3 linked regions of the Diceros bicornis minor genome follow. The protein of the gene in region 1 interacts with the protein of each later gene in a pairwise test. Links are inferred from orthologs where the notes say so. Each region holds a gene or a part of one and is shown on either strand. Other genes may lie near its edges.

Region 1 (7,055 bases):
AAACACATGTTCTGTGGGCCCAATGCACAGCAGGCGCTCAACCGAACGTCAGTTGTAATTATTATTCTCACTTAAAACAAAGAGCCCACACCTAACACATCATTTTCTACTCACTGTGTTCTTCACATGCATGAACGCGAGAATCTCCCGTAAGGAAAACATTCCCCCTTGGGGGGTGAAGTCTGATCAATTTGAACAATATATTTATTTTGGATTTTTTTTTCCATTGACCTGGCTTATAGAAGAATTAGCCTCACTTATTTAAACATAGGAGCCAATTTAAATGCAGACATCTAACTTCATATGTATTATATGGTATTTAAACAAGTCTCCTTAGATGTTAAATCCATCTCATTATGACCGCCAAACTCTTCTAGTCAAAAGTGTTCATTTGTCTATGATCTCCTCTACTTAAAAACATCCATTTCTGTACAAGTGTATCCATCAAAATCTGCAATTTGCTAAGAGAGGATATTCTGTTTTCATAAATCATCGAAAATACACAACAAACTTTAGGATGTTCAACCTATAGTTCGTACCACAATGACACTCTCTTACCTCCTGCAAAAACTTCTCACTCATTTGGCTGAAATGGTGTCCTGGAGGCTTGATCCCGGACACCATCAGTCCAGAACTGAAGACCCTGGGCTTCTGCAGGTCTGGCTTGAATTTCTCGTAGAGGTGGGCAGACGGTTTCAGGTCACCACTCGCCGCCTTCTCCTCTTGGGGAAGAGGCATGGTACATGTGGGCGGAGCGTACGGAAGCCCCACTGGAACCAGCGAAGTGTCCACCTGGCCAAGGGCCTGAGGATTCCTCCTGATGTAGGTGATGATCTTAGGCCTCACGTGCTTGGGTTTGGGCATGACGACGGGCTTGGGCTCTGTCCTTTCCTCTGTTTTTTCAACCTGGTAGTTCTCCTTTCCCTCCTGTGAGAAAGGTACATCCTCGGAACGTACGACGACAGGCTTGGGGATCCCAGTGGGGCAGGTGTCCTTGTCAGGCACTTTCGGGGAAGGGGTCAACAACCGCGCACTGTCGGTGGGAGGTGGGGCAGCCGAGGGTGACCCCGTGTCTACACTCAACACACCGAAGTCCTGAAAACTGCTACTGGGTGGTGTAGGCTGGTGGGTCACATTCACAGTTGTCTCTGGGTGGAGGGGTGCTGGGACATTGAGAGGAGAATCTGTACTTGCTGGGGTACTTTCAGTCTTAACTGCATTTTCTAGACGGTTCCTACTTTTGGCAACAGATGTAATGATCTCTTTGCTTTCCCCTGCTTCTGAGCTGCTGCTTTGAGGGTCAAGGGGCTCAGGGACCTCAGTTCTGCTCTCTCCAATCAAAGCATCTGAAGTGGAAACCGTAGCACTGTCCCTGGTCCCACTGCCCAGCACCTCTCTCCCCTCACTCACATCCAAGGGCCTGCTGTCAGTTGGATCTTTAGGAATAAAATCTACATGACCATCACCTGGTGAGATGCTGCTGGATGCCATTTCACCCAATTTCCTAGCTGCACTTGGTGAATTTTTGCCAGTGGGCTGATTATCAGCAGCTCCCAAGGAATCGGGGCTCTGTTGGGGGGTTGTTTGAAGAAATCCCTCCTCACCCAGGCTGACTGCTCTCTTCTCCTGCTCACCACTCCTGCCTCTTCCCACGCCAACGTGGTGGAGACTGCCATGTGACAGACTGCTCAGTGTACCAGCGGTGGCTTCTTGCTGTGCTTCCCCACATGGCCCCTTTCTCTCTAGGGACAACATACTATCCTCCTCAGGACATCCCAGACCCTCCGCCTGGGTTGACTTTAATTCCTGCACGGCCCTGGGTTGGACAAATTTCAGCTCCGGCCTGGACTCTGCCTTTCCCTGACCTAATTGTGCTTCTGGCTTACTCAGGACTTCCTTTGATGCTGAAGTTGAATTCAGAGCACGCTCTGGGTGGGCAGAACGTGATGTGCTCTTGTCACTAACTTTCGGTACGTGTGCCCCCTCCATCTGGGTCTCTGAGGGGGTGGCCTCCTTGGTTTCTGAGGTAGATGATTTAGGACGACGCAAACTCTTGCCCTCTGAGGTATTGTCAGCTGGAAGCAAAGCTGCCCCTAGAGAGTGGGCTGTCAATGTCCTCTGTGGCCCCTCCCCACCGCTGGGCACATGACAGGGGGCTTCAGGGGAGTCCAGCGGTGCAGGCTGCAGAAACTGCCGAGTCAGGCTCCCAACACGCTCCTTTGTGAGCACGTCCACTGCAAGAGCAGAGCTGCTTGCTCTTTCTAAAGAATGCCTTCTCAATTCCTCATTGTCAAGGGTCTTTGCCAATTTATCCTTGGGAACAGGCCGGGGAATTTCAACATCCCTTTTAGCCAAAACCTCTGGACTGGACTCACCCATAACATTCCTCCAACTTGACAGGCTTGGTCCCTGAATACTCCGAGGGGTCTGCGGGATATGTGTGCCTCTCTCCATTGTGTGCTCTTCATTTAGTTCTCTAGGAACGGTTGGAGAAAACTTAAAATCTTTCAGGCTGGTGGGGCCGGCGTGAGATCCTTTCCCAATGCCCTGAAGTTGGTGAAATTCCTTATTGAAATGGGTGCCATTTCCTGGCTCACTTGTATTTGCATTTCCAACTTCATCTCTCAGGTCACATGTCTCAGACTCATCATGAGAGGAACTGACCTCCAATGTGATTTGATTGGCATTGGTATCCCCCAGACTTAGGATACTCTCGTTATTATTTTTCACTCCATTTCGGTTGTCCCGCAACTGAGTGTAACATGATTTCTTAGGAGCCACTGGGACGCTCATTTTCAACCCTTCAGTGGGGGCTGCTTGCCATGCAGTCCTACTTAATGGAAAGGGGCTTCCTTCAAGCTGCTATTTGATTAATAGGAAATTCTCAAGCTGCCTGTTGCCCCCTGACAATGTCACATTGCGACACTGCTACAATCATTTTCAGAGCAGTTTTAAAACCAAGCATTGTCTTGGCATACAGCAGGATGACTGATCTGCTAGGTTCCTGCTGAATGAGAGCCAATTAGTCCATGAGACCTAGAGAGAAATAAAAATAAATCAGATTAGATCGACAGAGATTCTCAGGAGAAAAAATCATAGTAAACACAGATTACAATCACTTTCATAATATTATTTAATTCACTCTATCCACATATTTCTCAAAAACCTTTCAGATAGGGGCTCCTGCTGGCCAAATATGGGAAAATTGGAACATCAAAATGATTCATGTTAGAAATAGATTATGAAAACATAGTAAATCTTAAAATTAAATTTTAAAAACCTACAAGTTCATACCAAGACTGATTAAAAAGGGTGGAGGAGAAAAGAAGGCTCTTCTTTACAGAATATCAACTAATACAGGAAAAATTATAGAATTAGAAAAAGCATCATTTTGTAGTCACCAGAGTAATAATTATCTTGGGCAAGGGACACCAATGGTTGAAAAATACTGGTTGAAAGGTTGTTTGGGGAACAGGATATTCATGGAATCATAAGGTACCATCCTCCAGATTACTTTATTTCTTACAAAAGAAAAATTTTATCTTTACAATGGAGAAAGCTGGTAGGCACCACCTTAACTAAGTGATCAAATTTACCATGTCACTAGTGGAAACTGACACCACGTGCTCCTGATGTAGGCAGTCCTCAGCACCTATATCACCTATGCAGTATTCTCGCTATGAATGTTCAACCCGAATTTAATCATGAGGAAATAATCAGACAAATTTAAAATAACTGGCCTAAACTTGCCTCCAAAATGCTAACAGATATCTACGAATGATGCGTGATCCTTGACTGGATCTTTGATTTTACAAAAAATTAGCAAAGGATATTATTGGGACAATTACAGGTTTCTATATGGATTGTATTTTAGGTAAAGGTATTTTATCAATGTTAACTTTCTTGGGTGTATAATACTATTGTGATTATATCAGATAATCTTTGTTCTTGGAAGATACATGCTTTTAAACATGACATGTCTTTTAATGACATGTTGTCTGTAACTTACTCTCCAGTGGTTCAACAAAGAGAAAAATATGTGTGTCGGGGGGTGGGTGGGGATGCATATGAAAGAGAGAGAGAGAAAATGCAACTGTGCCAAATGATAATTTGAAAATCTAGGTGATCCATTCTACTATACCTACAACTGTTCTATAAGTTTGAAATTTTTCAAAATAAAAAGCTGGAGGAAAATTCTATCCCAGCCTTCAGGGCCTGCATGATCCAGCCCATACACACCTTTCCAGCCTCATCCTCACTACTCACCCTCTTCCTCTCTAGGCTGCAGCCACACTGGCCTCATTCTTCATATTACCATGTTCCTTCCTCCCTGCTTCGGGGGGGCTTTGCTCGTACTCTTCCATCTGCATAGAATGCGGACTCTTCCCTCAACGTTACTCAACTAACCCCTTTGTATTCATCAGTTTGCAGCATAAGTACCACTTCCTCCAGGAAGCCTTCCCGACCTACTAGCCTTTCCGACCTCCTTCTATAATGACCTTTTATCATATCCCATATTTTCACTTTAAAAAAAAAAAATCAGATGTGCTAGACACTAAAGAAAATATCGTTTAACACCTAGCATGTGTGTTAGGCACTTAATATGTATTTGTAGCATGAATGAATGAATGAATGAATGATGAAGAACAATGTTATTTTTACTCTCATAGGGCTTAAAATCTAACATAGTATTTAAATTTCTATGAAAGTAGACTCACAGATCATCCCTAAACCTCTCAATTCAAGGCTAACATTGTTTTATCCACTACTGTGAATACATTTTATTAGGCACCAGGGATGGGAGAGTTTAAAAGGAACAAGGTTCCGCTCCGTCCGCAATTCCCCCAATGGGGATTCAAAGTTAACAGCCTTCCACACCTTCCCCCTCATTCATACAAAATATGCGAGTACTGAGATGCACATTACGTGGGAGGCTCTTGTCACGTTTCCACTGAAATAAGTTACGTGGCAACCTGCTTGTCTTCTCTTCATCATTGTTTAATATATTATTTCATACATTCAAAAGAATATTTGTGGGCTGTCCCTGTGGCTTGGCGGTTGAGTGCGCGCGCTCCGCTGTTGGCGGCCCGGGTTCGGATCCCGGGCGAGCGCCGACGCACCGCTTCTCCGGCCATGCTGAGGCTGCGTCCCACATGCAGCGGCTGGAAGGATGTGCAACTACGACATACAACTATCTACTGGGGCTTTGGGGGAAAAATAAATAAATAAAATCTTTAAAAAAAAAAAAGAAGGGGGCCGGCCCGGTGGCGCAAGCGGTTAAGTGCGCGCGCTCCGCTGCGGCGGCCCGGGGTTCGCTGGTTCGGATCCCGGGCGCGCACCGACGCACTGCTTGGTAAGCCATGCTGTGGCGGCGTCCCATATAAAGTGGAGGAAGATAGGCACAGATGTTAGCCCAGGGCCGTCTTCCTCAGCAAAAAAAGAGGAGGATTGGCGGATGTTAGCTCAGGGCTGATCTCCTCACCAAAAAAAAAAAAAAAAAAAAAAAAAAAAAAAAAAAAAAAAAAAAAAAGAATATTTGTGTATTCATACATGTATATACATTCATGTATACATAATACATATACATATATATATATACACACAAATGTATGTTATAAAGCAAAATAACATAATGAACACCTAGAACCAAGGACTGAGAAATCACCAATAAATTGCAGTTACCTCCATGTTCCTCTCCATCCCAGCTCCCAACTTTTCTAACTTAATTTTTCACTTGACAGCCTATCATGGACATCCCTAAAAACTCAGCTGATAGAGCTCTCTTTTCCTTTCATTTCTTTTGCATCTATTACATAAGCATGTATTTTTTACTTAAATGAGATCATTTCCTATAAGCTGGCTTTTTGTCAGTTTTTTTTCTTTTTATTTGCCCCTTCTTCCCTTAGCCCAAGACACGCTAACATCCTGGTGCAGGTCTCTCCACTCCTTTCCCCATGTCCGTATACTCCTATCCAGATACACACACCTATAGCAGTGTGTGCTTTTGTTTCCCACCACACTGCTCTTCTGTTCTCTTCATGTCACACTCACTATCTTCATCCTCCCACTTCCTTGTGTCTCCCACATTCTTTTTCTCCTTCTCTGTCTTCTTCCAGGCCTGCCTTCAGTGAACCAGGGACACCGCCAGCTCCAGCCTTGGCCCGATACAGCCCTCAAGCCTAAGCAAGGTGCTGACACTCTGCTCCCAACCTCGGTTCCCTGACACAGAAGTAATTCTCAATGAGCCCACATTTCTTTCTTTACTCCATTTTAAAAGTGTTTTCCTTGAAGATACAAATGTCCTCTGGGGACAAATATAAAAAGCATGTGGGCAAATCAATAAGACAACAGTTTAAAAGAACACTGTGCTCTCTGGGTCAGGAAACAGGTATCCCAGAAAGTCAGGGAGAGCAAGGAATTCCATAGACATGGGCCATCCACAGAAAGTGAGCATCTCTGATTCTCTGTGGGCAAAATTTAAAGCATGAAACCAAGAGCCCTCTTTGGTTTGAACTATTGAAGCTGGGAGAAAGAAAGAAATGAATTCTCAGCAGTGACAGCAAAACCAGAGCATCATAAACCACAATCCACAATCTGACTGCTAGAAAGTGACAAACAGGTGCAAAATCAGTATCTTGCTAGAAAGAATTGTATTTTAATTTTTAAAGAATTACATAATAAATGTTCTTTTTCTTTGTCAGTAAACAATAAATGTTACATTGGTAAGGGGATGGAAAGGTAGAACCTCCGAGGGCCCAAGTATTATTCTCAGCACTAATCCATATCTGCAAAATTTAATGTTTAAATTATAATTAATTTTATTTAATCTTAAATTTTAAGTTAAGTTATTTAATATTTGTAATGGCCTCCAGAGATAGATCTTAACATCCCCTTGCCTTTTTTCTTTCTCTCCAGGTAAGGAAGTGAAAGCACAGAGAGGGTAACATTCCCAAGGTCACACAGCTAAGAAGTGGCGGAGCAGGGACAGAGACAGGAAGGTAAAATCCAGGCAGAAAGTGGAAGCTGTAAAAAGAAACGCTGCCTATTGGTGGAAC
Region 2 (6,989 bases), on another chromosome or scaffold:
CTGTGTGGTCGTCAATATCCACCTTGGCCATCACCACCTTTCCATGCTGCTTGGCCACCACCTTCTCTAACCTCGGCCCCAGGATCTTGCAGGGACCACACCACCTCGGGAGGGGAGAAAGGAAGCATCCTGTCACAAGAGCACTTGACAATCCATCTGTGGTCTCCCCAGAACCTTCCCTTGACGCACATCTTCCTGAGGGACCTTTTGCCCTTATTACCTCTGTTTACAGTGTTTGACTATTAACCTGTAATGCTGACATGCCAAAGGGTAACGCCAGGAGACTCTGCAACAGAGGAATCTGCACAGGTCCCGGACTATTAAAGCACAGGCCTCATCATAACACTCTTATAAAGGTTATTTCATTTATTTCAATATATCTAAAAAAAATATGGTCATATAGAAGAATATGGGACTTGAAGTTAAAAGGTTTGGGTTCAAAGAAAGGCTCTTCACCAACCAGCTGATTGTTCTGGGGCCTCAGTTTCCTCAGTTGCAAAAGAGAGACTCTGCCTCTCAAAGCTGTGATGAGAAAGCAACTAAGGCAACGTGGATAAACATGGTCTGTGAGCTGTAGGGACTTCCGACACCTCATGGACTGGGAACTAAAGGGAGGGGAAACCAATGGCTAGTGAGTGTCTACGACACGCCAGTCACTGCGCCAGGAACCTTCTCAGCTTCTACTGCACAGAACCCTCAACCCTGCAAAGGGAAAGAAAACATCTTCCTAAGAAACTGAGTCCCATACAAGTTAGGAAACTTGTGTAAGGTCACAGAGCTAGTAAGAAGCACAGCTGGGGTTGCAACCCAGGTCGTGTTCCAAGTGTCCTCTTTCAGCCCCAGACAATTCGGTGTCAGCCCCTGTGTCAACTGCTACCAGGGAGGTGTCCCCTCCGGGTGGGGAGCTCTTTGAGAATAGGCTGTCATCTCTAGGTGTGTGGCACTAAGGGCAGTGCCTGGCACTAAATGAACAAACTCGCACCTTGCTTCCTTGTTGGAGAAGAAAATGAGGCATCACTCCATTTATCATTCCTTTTGGAAGTGCTCTCTGGAGTGCTCACCATACCAGGAGGGCAGAACAGCTCTGATCCCATGAACCCCTGGTCGATGACGCCTATTTTATCCTCAGCCATTAAAACCCTTTCCATTCAGAGATTTCAATGCACGAACTCACAACACCTAACAGCCCAGTCTGCAAGCCCTCATCTCCTACTACAAGGAAAGAAAGGGAGGGACAAGGACATCAAATGGCCTGCCCAAGGCGACATGGTGAGTCAGAGGAAGAATGGGGTAGAAAGCAAAAGAGCCTGTCAGAGATTTGTTCAGAAGGCCTCCCAACTTCTAACTCAGGCTACATTGGCTCCTTCTAGAATGTCTAATTTTAAGGGGTTTGTCCAGTTTTTTGTAGCCAGGCCACAAGGGTCTGGAAATGAAGACCAGGCTAACAATCAGAAGGCTACAGCCCTTTAAATATCCCTAACACAAACTCATACAGCACTGAAAAGAAACGCCTGCCCGTCCCTGCATGCTCGGGCACCACTGTGGTGGCACTGGTAACTTTTTGCCAGCCTTTCCCGGTTTTGGTGGCAAGATGCTGAAATAAAATCAACTTATCTGCAGGGCCAGGAACTGGTACACACCAACAACCAGAGAATGTGATAGTCATATTTTTCCCACTTTTGTCCAGGCTGAAGGTGACTGACCCATTCAGGCAGAGACACAGAGCGTCAAGAGTTTCTCAGCACTAATCACAGCGAGCTTTGAGGCCTGTTTATCAGTTTGTCTCCTACCAGACTGCACTCAATCTCTGAGAGCAGGGATTGGGTCTTACGAGTCTTTGCAATGAGTCTGTGCACGAGAAGCATCAAACGTGGTACTGAGACAGAGCAGGCACTCAATCAATACCTGAACAAGCGACACCCCAGTCTTCTGCTGACCCCAGGACTCACTGTGCATGGAAATCCACAACCACTGGTGTCTCACTGTTGACAACTCGGTCTTGAAAGTCAGGTCCGTCCTGGATGTTAAAGGTGGTCGTACAGACTCTGGTGGTGTATATTGACCGGGCTTGGCTGGGTGTCACTGTCTGGTTACCAGGACTGCACTGTGGGGTCTGCAGGGCCCAGGGGGTGAGTGGTGCCCACCGACCCTGAGTGGGCTTCCTGGAGATGATGGAGGCCAGGAACCTTCTCAGGAGAAGTCGCTGAGCCATCTGTGAGGGGAAAAGGCAGGAAGAGCTGGGGCAGACAACATGCAGTCAACACACCAGAAAAAGAAAGGTATTTGGGAGAACTGGGGGGCTCAAGATGCAGGGCTGGAAGCAAAATGCCAGGAAATAGTAAAGAAATTAGGATACTGGTTGAATTACAAGAAGAAAGGGAGGAAAGAACCAACATTTACAGAGCACCTGCCAAGGGCCAAGTGCCCTGCATCCACCCTAGTCCTCCCAGATCTACTTTGAGGACGTTTCCATAGTATCGCTCACATTACAGAGAAAGAATCCGGGGCTCGGGTAAGCTGGTGCCCAAAGTAACCCAACTAGTTAAACGAGTCAATACTGGAACCAAAGGCCGTCTGCAAAGTCCTTACGCTATCGATCACTCTATTAAGAAGTGTTTTAATGGGAAATTAAGGAAAAGGGGGTTGTGAAAGCATCAGGAAGGAGGAACCGCAACAATTTAAGGAGGAACTAACAGGCACAGAACAGGAGTGTGGGGGGGACGCAAAAAGGAGGGACGTGTGTGTGGAGGGAACTGGGGAACGGACGCCACGGGGGACCCCGGCTCTCCGGAGAGCAGGTTCCCTCGCCCCGGGCCTCCGCCCGCTCGGCCGCCCGCCGCGCAGGAAGGCGCCCGCAGCGCGCCTCAGCCGCTACAGCACCGAGAGCCGCCCCCACGGCTTCCTACCTCCCTGCAGCGCCAGCGGAAGGTGCACGGCCCGGCCCTCCGCGCCTGTCAAGGGCACTGCTGCCGTCACTTCCTCAGAGGAGGGCCGTTCCACGGCCACTTCCGGGGACAGGCACTCTGGAGCACGTCTCTCCGCAACCTGAGGGGCGGCTCCGATTTTCCGCCAATGAGAACGGCGGGGGAAGGCCCAGCTAAAGGGGCGGAGCCTCAGTTAGGGACCGGAAGACAGGGGCTCTCGGGGGAGAGACCGGAAGACGGGGGGCGGCCCCCGGGGGGAGGAACCGGAAGTAGGGACGGCCCTCGGGGGAGGGACCGGAAGAGGCGGGCGGGCCCCAGGGGAGGGTCCGGAAGAGAAGGTGGAGGGAGGCGGGAGCACGGGGGAGGTACGAGAGGGAGAAGAGGGCGGGAGGGAGGTGTGGTTCCGGATTTTGCAAACTCCTGCCGCCTTATTGGTCAACCTGCACTGCCCGCCCGTCTGTCGCATTGTCTTCCAAAAACTCGTAGAGGTGCTGGAAGGTTCTTTCCTTCCATCCTACGAATGAGGAAGCTAAGCCCCTCCGAGGCATAGTAGACCCTGACTGGGAGTCAGGAAGCCGCCGTGTGGCCCTCGTCTATCACACACAGCTCTGTGACCTCGAAGTTCTGGCGCGTCACCGTGCCCCTGGGGGCTTCAGTTTCCCAGGATGTGACACCAGGGGCCGGGCTTGTCGTGACCCAGGCCCCTCAAGCTTGTCTCCTTGGAGTTGCTGGGGAACTGGGCCAGGCGCCAGAGGGTGGTGACCCTGGAGGGCCTGCCTTGAGTGTGGTGACCTGTGAGCCTGCCTGGGCCTGGGCCTTCCTTTCACACCCTTTGTCACTGTCACGGACAACAGGGGTCTAGGACCTGTGCATCCCAGGCTGGTGTCACAGCCACCTCGCCTCCCCTGCACCCTGTACCTTACATGACAACCACTCTGGCCTCTTGGGGTTCTGTGAATACATCAGTGCCTTCTCCTTCCTCCTTGCCTTCCCTTAATTTGAAATACTTTTTTCTTTCTCCCCTTGGTAGAACACCCACTCATCACCTCTTCCTTGAGCCGCATTAATTACTTCCTTCTTTCTAGTGCTTCATTCCTAACTCTTACATAACGCATTGCACAGTGTCTGTCTCCTCCACTAGACCCATGCTTCCTGAGAGTGGGGATTTGTGACTTTTCTCTGACTCCACGTGCCCAGCACCAACCTGATACAGAGCCTGGCTCACAGAGGATGTTCAATGGATGCTTGTTAAATGAATGTCTTTGGGTATCTCAGGGAGTGGTTTACAGTCAGAGAGATCAGCAGGAGATTGGCAGAGTCCCATCTCACACGTCCGTTTCAGTCTACACCCCAGCAGGGGGGAATCACTTATAGTTCCAGAGTTTGCTTAAGTGTCTCTCCCATCCCTGCATTTGGCAGTTGCTACTCCCTATGACTGGAAGGCTTTTCCTCCTCTCTCCATCTGAGAAGATGCCAGCAGATACCAGATTAGGCATCCTCGCAGGGAAGAGACCCTTCCCTGAGCCTCCTGGAGCCCGAGTGGATGCCCTCCTCTGAGCTTCCACAGCCCCTGTGCATCTATCAGTCACCACACTCAAGACTCCGTACTGTCCCTGTTTCTTTATTCCTCACTCCTCACTATACTGTCAGCTCCTGGGGCTCTGTCTGTCTCTCCACTGCTTACCTCAAGCCTTGGTGCATGACAGTAGGTGCTCAGGGATTATTTGTTCCATGAACAGAGAGCAGGGACTCACATCAAAGCTTCTCACCCCAAATCCCATTTTCCCCACCACAGTGCATGGTCCCATTGTTCCCTTCCAAAATCACTGCCATGTTTTTTTTCCAGTTGGTCTTGGACACATCACGCTGTTGTTTGTCCAGTTGGCAGGTTCACTCCCTCACTCCCTGGGCAGGCAGGGCCACAGCCATAGCTGTGCGAGGACCTTCTTCTGGGATGAGGTGAGGGAATCCTTGGAATAGGTCCACGTCCTCTGGCCACCAGCAGCCAGGTCAGCCTTCCACTTAATAGAGTCCCTTGTCCATTGCAGGCAGAGACTAGGTGAGGGCATGGGCAGGCCTGGCCTTCTCTGCCCTGTCTGATCTCTTACTTTTGCCTCTGTCCCCACCTAGGACTGGAGCCAACAGTGGTGATCCACGTGGGACTCTCAGTGCCCCTGGCTCTCCTGAGGTCAGCACCCCTTGGTGCAGCTATTCCTGCTAATGCCGGATGCCATCTGGCAGGGGCATTCCTACCCTGTCCATTTTCATTTCTGTTTTTCTGTGTCTCCAGCACTTTCTCTTCCAAAGCCTCCTAGAGGCTATACTGCCCCTAAATCCTATTCAGCATTTCCACAGCGTTTTCTGGAAGGCCAATTTCCCTGCTTAATTCACATTCTGAATTCCAAAGGAGGACCAGTGCTGTTTGTCCTTGTTCCGTAGTCACTTCACCTCTCTTGGCCTCAGGCTTCTCAGCTGACAAGTGGGAAGAATGATGCCTTCCTCAGAGGAAGGATGGAGGACAGGGCCTGGCACACTGGCAGTGCCTGAGGAATGAAGGAGTCTCCTTCCCTTCTGCAGGGAGGGAGCCTGTGAGATGGATAGGGAAGGCTGCTCACACAATAGGCTACAAGCTATATGGTGGCTCATCTGCCCAGCCAGAGCTGACCTGGCCTGGGTCTGGCTCAGTCACAGGCAGGCTCAGGGCACAGGTGTGAGGGAAGGGAAGGAGCTAAGGGTAAAGCTTCTAGTGCCACCCCTTACCGACATTTATTGCAGTGTTTTTCAGGCTGTGGGATGTGAGCCATCAGTGGGTTTGTGAAATCCATTTAGTGGGTTGTGGTCAGCAGCTTTTAAAAAAACAGAATTGAAAATATCAGAGTATGTCGCATGTTATAAGTATCATTTGGTGAAACGTTTCTTGGTGTCATGCCTATATGGCTGTATGTCCTAGATTGTGATGTAGAATGTATTTTTTACTGTGGGTCATGGTCAAGAGTTTAAAAGCTACTGATATGATGAAGAGTTACCAAATACCTGACACTGTTCTGACTACCCTACATGTATTAACTCATTTAATCCTACAACCCTATGTGGTGGGTGCTGTTATAGCCGCCATCTTATAGATGGGAAAACTGAGGCACATAGAGGTTAAGTAGCTTGTCCAGGGTCACCCAGGTAGTAGGAGGTGGAAGCGTAAAGGTCCTAACCCGCCCCTAGCAAGGGCCTGATTTGACTACCAGCCAGCCAATCTAGGCCATCAGAGGGCAATGTGGGCTCAAACCCCGGGGGATTGCAGCTGGTGACAGGGCGGGCAGCAGTGGTTCTCAGCAGCGGCTGTAAGCAGAGGTGCCCACATGGTGGCAGTGTGGTTCTTGCAACCTCTTCCATGGCAGGCCAGGCAAGCTGAGCATGGCCTTGGGATACAGGCTTCCTCAGGTCTGCAGGGCCGATCACAGGGGACAGGGCTGTGGGACAGGTGCATCTCAGTGACTGCGTGTTCTAGGATTTTATGGCTGGAGAAAGGCACCTTAAAAAATACACAGGCAGAGAGGTGGTGGGCTACAGTGTAAGCTGCTAGTGAGTTCCTCTCTGAGATGCGTTGCTCCTAGAGTATCTTTGTTTTCAGTTTCCATCTTGATGGTAATTTTTGTTTTTTGTTTTTTTAAATGCTGTTACAGAACAGTTGGAACTGTGACTTATGTTTTGCAATTCAAGAAGCTGGTTTCGTGTTCTGTTGTGATTCATGTTCTGTCGTGTTTCCAGCAATTACACAATGTCCCCTCAGCCCTTTCTGAACATAAAGACTTGACACTGGAACCTCAATGTAGCCCTTAGCTCATAGACTGGTGACTGCTGCCTCCTGGGATGGTAGATCCAGAGTGTCATGGCTGTGATGTAGGTGGGCATATGCTGTCTCCCTCACTTGCCCACCCCAGTGTGAGGCCACTGCCCTCAGTAGGCATGTGCAGGCTGGGGCACCAGTGTACCAGGGCACATTCTGGATCCTTCCTGCTTTTGAGGTGAGGCTCCTCATGTGTTCCTGCCTGGTCAGGTCTGGTGGCTCAG
Region 3 (7,879 bases), on another chromosome or scaffold:
TGCCCTCTGGCGTGCACGCCTGCCTGCTTCATTCAGTGAGTGTCCCCCCGGCCGCCCTGCCGGCTGTGCTTTGAGGAGACAAGGCCCGCTGGCCCTGGCCCCCTTGTCCTCCCCTTTGTTGTGTCAGTTTCTGAGGCTCTCCCTGCTCCTTCCCGGGCGAGCCCCTGCCCCAACGGGGCTTGGCGGAGGTGACCAGCCCTGCGCTAGGTAGCAGCTGGGTTGGATGTGGGAGCGAGGAAGTCCTGGGACAGTGCGAAGAGCCTTTAGGAAAAGAACCGGCTGGACAGGGGCCACCGCCATCCAGATGCTGCTGCCCCAGCTGCCAACTGCAGGACCCCAGCCCGCCTGCCGCCCAGGGACGCACACCTTGACGTGACTGTGTGCCAGGGACGGGCCCACCAGCGGGCTACAGGCCCCAGGGTCCCAGGAGGCGGCCCGCCTTCCTGGAGCTGCGCACCCTCTGCTGAGGTTTGGGGGAGGGCAGGGCTGAGCCCTCACGCTGAGCTCCCTCGTTTCCCCCAATTTCTCTCCATGTCTATCTGTCTCTCTCAACCTCTCTCCTTCCCAGACACACGAGGTGGGGTCCTGTCGGCAGAGCAAAGCCATCCGTCAGCCAGCTGGCCTCGCGCTGGACTCTGCGATGCACTCCGCCCCCCGGCCAGGCCCCCAGCTTCCCTGATGTGCTGTCCCCGCCTCCGCCACCCCGCCCTGCCCCGCGTCCCGAAGCTGCACTTCTCTGGCCCAGCACCACAGAGAAGGGCTTGGGGGAACAGGCCCAGGCCACGCCCAGGCCAAGACAGGGACAGGTGCTCTGAGCATCGTCAACAGCAGGGGACTGTCCTTGTGGCTCCCCTGGGCTGTGAGAAGATCTGCTTTCAAATGCTCTACCCAGGGCCCCCCCGGGACGAGGGCTGCCCTCACCTTCCAGCCGCCCTCCCAAGGGTCGAGTTCAGAATTCGAGGGCGGGGAGGAGAGTTAGGAGAAGGGGGCCAAGAGGAGAGAGCGCGTCCACAGGGAGAGAGAGCGTAAGCGCTTCTGTCAGGCAGGGCAATATGCAGAGATGGTCCTGGTTTCTTCATCCCCATCCCAACCCGTTCTAGAGTCACCAAGGCCTCAGGGAGGTTGGTCATAGAGCAGAGGGTGGAGGGCGGAGGGCAGAGGGCAGAGCTGGGGCAGGAGTTGCTACCAAGCCTTGTTCTTAGAGGCTGTCCTTAGAGGGACCAGTGTCCACCCAAACGGTCTGAGGGGGAATTCTCTCACCTCCGCCTCCAGGCTGGACAATCGCACAGCTGGACCCACAACTTCAGGGCCACACTGCACATCTCAGGAACTGACAGAGTGCCCCACCCATCACTTCTCTGGTAGAGAAGAGGGGGTTCATAGCCGCCTGATTCGTTAGCTGGCCGGGTGAGCAGCTTTGGCGGGGTCTGGCGTGAAGGTTTGGGGGATTGGGAAATAGGCAGATGTGTACAGGTGCGTGGAGGCTGATGGCTCTGGGGTCTGCTGGCTGGGCCTCGAGAGCCGTTCTCTGGGGTAGGTTTAAGGAAGTCCCTCGAATGAGGAGAGTCAGAGGTGATGAGCTCCTTGCACATCGTAAGGGTCAGTATTATCCACTAAAAGATGATTTTCAGGTGGTGGTGGTCAGTCATAATTCCATAATTTTAAACTCAGAGGGGGGTTGAGGTCTTGGGAGTAGAGGAGCCTGTGGGGTGTGCCTGGCAGACAAGGCTGTGATATGGCCCCACAGAGCACGGGTTCCTGCTCCCAGCATGGTGTGGAAGTAGCCAGGGCCACTGGGCCTGGAGGGGCCATGCAGAGAGAAAGGGCTACAGCTGTCCCTCAGATTTCTGCCTGGCCACGTGACCAGGACCACATGGGTGCCCACATACACACAATGGCCCCAGACCAACTAGCAAAACCCAGGGCCTTCAGCACAGCCCCTAAGGTATCAGTTAGAATTGCTATGATTGGCTGGGTGGCAACCAAAAAACCCCCAGAAAACAGTGCCTTAAGATAACAGTGGCGGCTAAAAGTTTATTTCTGCCTTGAACAAGAAATCCAGAGGCAGACAACCCAGAAGTAGTACAGTGACTCCTAGTGTTATCAGGGATCCAGGGTCTTGCCTTTCTGTTTCCTCAGCACATGGCTCCATCTGCAAGGTTACCTCATGGTCTAAGATGGCTGCAGGAGTGCCAGCCATCATCTCTGCACTGATCAACAGAAGAAGATTAAAGTGGAGTGGGAGAAGTAGGACTTTCCCCAGCTATCTAGTCCCACATTATGGAACCTTCCCAGAAGCACAGCCCCCAAATTTCCTCTTATATCTCCTTGTCATGCTTAACTGCAAGGCAGAAAGATGTCACATAGTTGAAAGAGAGCCAAAAAGAAGTTTCAGAAATGAAAAATATGATAAGAACAACAACTCACTTCACAGGATTAGCTGTAGACTGGACAAAGATGAGGAGAGAACTGGTGAACTGGTAGAAAAATGAGAAGAAATTGCTCATATGCAGGCTAGAGATACAGAGTCACAGAGACACGGAGGATGCAGGGGGAGGTCCAGGCCTCATTTGATTCAGTTCCACAGGAACTCAGACAGGTGACAGGCAGAGCATCTGTTCCGTCCTGAAGGGGTGGTTCACCTTAGACGATAATCATGCTAAGCTTGCGTGTTGGAATTTCCAAGGCGACCAACACAAGAATCAAAGCAGCGTTGGGCCGGCCCCGTGGCTTAGCAGTTGGGTGTGCACGCTCCGCTGCTGGCAGCCCGGGTTCGGATCCTGGGCGCGCACCGACGCACCGCTTCTCCAGCCATGCTGAGGCCACGTCCCACATACAGCAACTAGAAGGATGTGCAGCTATGAAATACAACTATCTACTGGGGCTTTGGGGGAAAATAAATAAATACATAAATAAAATCTTAAAAAAAAAAAAAAGAATCAAAGCAGTGTAGCATCCAAACTCGTAGAAGGATGAGCGTGGAATGCTGAGAGAATCAACCCGCCCAGCGGCAGGAAAGGAGAGACAGAGAGCAGCCAGAGCAGACCGCTGCTCGGCTTGGCCGGGCTGATTCAAGGGGCTGAATAAAGGGCACTTGGTGCGTGAGCGGCTGCAGGAAAGGCCCAGAGAAGCCCGGATCCCAGGCGGGGCAGAGGCAGTGGCTTTGGAACCGGGAGATGGTTGTCCAGCAGGCGCTGGGACCCTCAGCGGAGGGAGACAGCGCACACGGCCCTCCATGTGGACGAGTGGGGTTGAGCGCTTCCCTCTGCCCAGGGCGGGTGGAGGCCCCAGAGCACCCACATTGCAGGGGCCCCTGTGGGGGACGGGGTGTTCCTCGGCTGGGCCCTGCTCTCTCCTGGGACAGAGTCGGAGATCGCCTGGGGACAGCTTCCTTTCCCACCACCTCTGGAGCCATTACGGGCACTGGGGGACAAGGCCTTGCTGGCCACTGGGCAGCTGTCAGCGCTGAGCTCCCTGCAGATGTGTCGGGAACCAAGACTGTCTCAGTCTCATGTGGTCAGAGCCTGTTAGTCTCGCCAACGCTGAGCTGCGGTCTCCTGGCTCCCGTCCCACTCGGCTGCCTGTCAACAGCACGGGGAGCACCCGCTCCCTGGGCATGCTGCTGGTGAGCTCCGGGGTCGGGGTCCCCGGGCCATGCTGCCCAGAGGAGAGGAGGTGCTGGGCACCTCCTGCAGCCCGGGGGCTCTGCTAGGAGCTGTGACGGCCATGCCTCCACGTGGCCCTGGTCCCAAGGCCGCGTCCTCAGCGGTGGTCGTCCAAAGGCGCTCTCCGTTTGTCTCTCATCCGCGTGCTCTCACCCGGCGTCTTCCCCTCCTGGGCTGGCAGCCCTTCCCCCTCTGCCGTGGAACGTTGGCTGGCTCTCTCCTCAGTCCACCTTTTCCTCTCGCCCCCGACAAACTGCTGCTACAAGTGGCTTCACAAACAAGAAGGCGAGAAGGTGAGAGAAGCCAGCCGCACAGACACAGAATGCGTAACAGAGGGTTCCTTTTACAGGAAGCTCCAAGCAATAAAAGGAAACGACCGTGCGTGGGGACACACCTCGGGTGGTGGGGCTGGAAGGGGCCCCAGTGGGCGGGTGGTGCCTCCGCGGGAAGGGCGTGCTGAGCGCAGGGAGGGGCATGTGGAGGGCTTTGGGGGGCTGGATTCCTTCAGGTGCTGAACTAAGACTTCATGATAATTTGAGAAGCTGTGCATTATGTTTTAGGCATTTTTACATAAATGTTGTACACTTCTAGCCAATAAAAAGTTTGGAAAAAAATGGAAACCGTGGGAAAATTCACAGTGATACATGTTCAGTAAAGTTCCTCACGGCCGTGTTTGTAACGGCAAAGAATTAGCACCGTGCAGTTCAAGGACAGAGGCAGGGCCAGCAGGTTACGGCACAGCCGTAGACTGGACGATCCCGGATGTTCGAAGTGGTGAGGATAGCGCACTGCCCACGACACGCCGTGGAGCAAGAAACGCAGCTCTAGGACAAGTTGTTCCGAGGGTTTCCGGTTTGTGAAAAATGAATATGAACATTTACACATACACGTGCATAGAAAAACGCGTGGATGTCAGCACCACTGCGATGATTATGGGCGATTTTATTCTATTGTATTTTTTTCCTTTTTATTTATCTGTTTGTTTCTAATTTTTCCTAAAATGAAAACATATTGCTTGCGTAATAAAAAATATTCAGAAGGATAAGAAAAAAGGCCAGCTTCTCATTTCTCCGAGACAAGCCTGGTTGTCATGGAGACTGGATGGTTGTCAAGGCAGCGATTGGCCAGTGGAGCTGGTTGCAAGAGCTTCCTTGGAGCCGGGAGCTGGTGCAGCCCTCAGACCGCACTGCAGAGCCTGGCGCCAGCATGGACGGGGTGGACGTGTGGGCCAGCACCTTAGCCCAACTGATGACCAAGAGGAAACCCCAGGACACCTGGGAGCTGCTCCCTGAGGAGAACCTGGCCTCGGGGCACCTGGACAGCAGCGGTTTCCAGTACCGGCTGAGGGGGCTCTCGAGGTGCGGCTGTGGGGGTCCTCCTTGGGGTCCCAGGAGGGGAGGGGGCTGAAGGCTGCTTAAGCATTGGCCCTCGGTTGGCCCCGTGTCCTGAGGCCAGGCTAGGTGTGGCCCAGCACCTGGGGGGGTGGGATGCGGGCGAGTGTCTGGCCTGGGCTTGGCCCCAACAGGTGGGTTGGCGGGTGCTCCTTCTCCCTCCCAGGAAGTGGGGGTGTTGGAGGGACAGCGCCTGTTCAGTCCCTTTCAGCCCGGTGAGCTGAGACCCTGCCTGCGGTGCCGGCCACCGAGCTCAGCCTGGGCCCTGCCGCAGTTGGGGGGTGACGCGGCCGCCACCGCCACATCTTCTGGTTTCCATGGCAGCGCTGATGGGAGCAGGGGATGGGCAGGCGCCCGCGGTCACTGCCTGCCCTGCGCTGCACAGGGGCCTGAGGGACCGGGAAGCTGAGAGACACATGCAGGGAGCAGGCCCCGAGAGGAGGGGTAGCAGTCCCCGGCCTGGGCTGTGGGCGAGTGGGGGCCCAGCTCGGGGGCTCCGGTGGCCACGGGTCACTACGTGAGCCTCACTCTTCATCATCATGACGACAGCTGGCGTCATTGCAACGGGGACAGGCCTGACCTGCAGGAGCCACCCAGCCAGGCGTCCCCAGTCCCCGGGACCTGACTGGGGAAGGGGACCTCAAAGACAGGTCACTGTGGGGCCCCCGTGGGCAGCTGCCCTTTGACACGGATGCCACAGCTCCCAGCGTCCGAAACCCCGGGGGCCGGGTGTGCGGGGGAAGGCTGGCCTTCTCAGGTGATAGGAAGTGACAGTCCTCGGTGCATCAGAGAAGCACCTTCAAACACCTTACTGTTCCCACGGCCAAACTGAAGGACTCCACAGGGTCGAGATGAGGACCAGAAAGATTGTTCAGTTGGTTTTCAGTTTTCACCGATAGAAACGCCAGCCAGTGGATGGCCACGTACTACAGACCCACGTCCTCCAACACAGCAGCCGCTGGCCATACGCGGCCTGCCATGTGCTTGTGGATTAAATGTAAATACAGCTGGAAGTTCCCTTCCTCAGGGCACTCCCTGTGTCCAGGTGCTCCTTGCCACTTGTGGCTCCCGGCTGGGCGCAGACAGAACAATCCCACTGTCATGGAAAGTTCCCCCGACGCTGATCAGCTTCCCGGGGAAACGCTCCATGAAACCTCCAGGCATGCGGGTCCCCACACACGTGTGCAGGTGCCACAGTGATCACAAGCCTTGGAGAGAGGGCGCTCACCTGCGGGGCCTGGGACACGCACACCGTCATCCTCCAGGGACCGGCACGTGGCTCCTCTTCAGTGCGGGGAGGCGTGCGGCTCTCGCTCCCACGTGCAAAGTCAGCGTGACGGCACCCCAGCAGGGGGACTCTCCAGCCCTCACTGCTTCTCTGTCCCCCGAGACCTCCCCATCACCCAGTCTCGTGCGGCAGGGAGCCCCCGAATTTATCTCCCCGTCACCTTCTCTCCCTTGGGCAGGGCTCCTCTTTCCAGGGCCCCCACGTCCTCTCCGCAGCACCCCACCTGCTACTCCCCCCGACTGGTATCCACAGGCCTGCCTTTGCCTCTTCGTGACGTTTCCTCAGGGCGATTATGCCCCGAGTCACAAAAGAACAGAAAAGCAGCGGCTGCAGCAGCGAACACAGAGTGACCCCTCACGTGCGTCAGGCCAGGCTCTGCCACCGAGTGGGTTTTGTGCCAAACTGATGAAAAGGTGCTTGCTTTTCAGCTCTTCAGATTATGGGTTGCAGACACAGTGTGCGCCAGCATCTGTCCCTTTGCAGATGGGGGCTCGGGGTTATGGAACTCCACTGGGCCTCGCTCCTCGCCCTCCTGGGGAGCAGGAGGGCGGCCCCCTCCCCTCCGCTCACTGCCTCTCTCTCCTCTGCAGGCTCCAGTGTGGCCGCTGCCAGTGGGGCTGGTCCTCGGCCCACGTGCACATCCTCTTCCATATGTGGTGGGATGAGGACAGCCGGCTGGGGCTGGTGAAGATGCGCATCTGGGGCCAGCGGTGCCGGCTGTGCCCGCCGGGCGCCCAGCGGGACTGCCAGGTGAGCCTTCTGAACGTGCGGCTCTTCCTCAACAAGCTGGTCCTGTTCATCCTGCAGAAGTGCTACCGGGAGACCCTCAGCTCTGACCAGTGCCCTGAGATCTGCTTCAGTGAGCGCTGCGAGGCCTGCGACCTGGGGGTCTGCTTCTTCCAGAAGCCCCCGGACCCCGCTTGGGGGCCGGAGGTCAAGAGCCCCATCCCCATCAAGGGCAGGTATGCCTTGTACGGCAGCAGCTCGGCCGTCACTGCTGAGAAACAGTCACTGACGCTCCGCAGCAGCCCCTCGGGCGAGCGCTCCTGGGGCTACACCCCCAACTCCATCTGCACGCCCCTGTCCGTGTCTGACTTCATCAGGAACCCCTCCGAGAGCAGCAACTTCTTCAGCGAGGACGAGGACATTGTCACCATCCCCTTCTCCCTGTTGGGTCTGGGCAGGGAAAAGGGGACCGTCACTGATGCCAAGGGCTGTGTCCTCCCCAGAGAGGGCTCCCTCCCTGCGGCTGACCGCAGAGGGCCGCTCATCATTGGCAAGGGCTCCATCTACCTGCCCACTCGGTCCACAGCTACACCCAAGGGCAGAGGCCTCCCAGTGGACATCAGGGCCCCCGTCTTCCAGGGCAGAGGCCTCCTCACCAGCAGCATCAAGCCCTTCGAGATCAAAGGCTTCATCTTCAAAGGCCGAGGCTCCCTTTCCAGCCCTGCTGGCGTCGATGAGGGCCAGGGCCCCGTCTCTGCCAGCAATGGCCCCATCACTGCTGGAAATGACTCACGGCCAGTGTCTTACAT

Evidence for each region.
Region 2: the proteins of MTUS2 (region 1) and TXN2 interact in binary tests that used the Homo sapiens proteins (3 or more experiments, as listed by UniProt). The two-hybrid records come from large-scale screens. The link is inferred for Diceros bicornis minor from reciprocal best matches to the Homo sapiens genes MTUS2 and TXN2.
Region 3: the proteins of MTUS2 (region 1) and RTP5 interact in binary tests that used the Homo sapiens proteins (3 or more experiments, as listed by UniProt). The two-hybrid records come from large-scale screens. The link is inferred for Diceros bicornis minor from reciprocal best matches to the Homo sapiens genes MTUS2 and RTP5.

Annotation. Positions count from the first base shown.
Region 1 is NC_080748.1:12,171,042-12,178,096, reverse strand, and holds the start of MTUS2 (microtubule-associated tumor suppressor candidate 2), read right to left. Parts: upstream 3,016-7,055; 5' UTR 2,794-3,015; coding exon 559-2,793; intron 1-558. UniProt on the Homo sapiens protein: Binds microtubules. Together with MAPRE1 may target the microtubule depolymerase KIF2C to the plus-end of microtubules. May regulate the dynamics of microtubules at their growing distal tip.
Region 2 is NC_080764.1:13,125,058-13,132,046, reverse strand, and holds the start of TXN2 (thioredoxin, mitochondrial), read right to left. Parts: upstream 3,009-6,989; 5' UTR 2,907-3,008; intron 2,213-2,906; coding exon 1,950-2,212; intron 105-1,949; coding exon 1-104.
Region 3 is NC_080776.1:28,593,312-28,601,190, forward strand, and holds the start of RTP5 (receptor-transporting protein 5), read left to right. Parts: upstream 1-4,871; coding exon 4,872-5,023; intron 5,024-6,934; coding exon 6,935-7,879.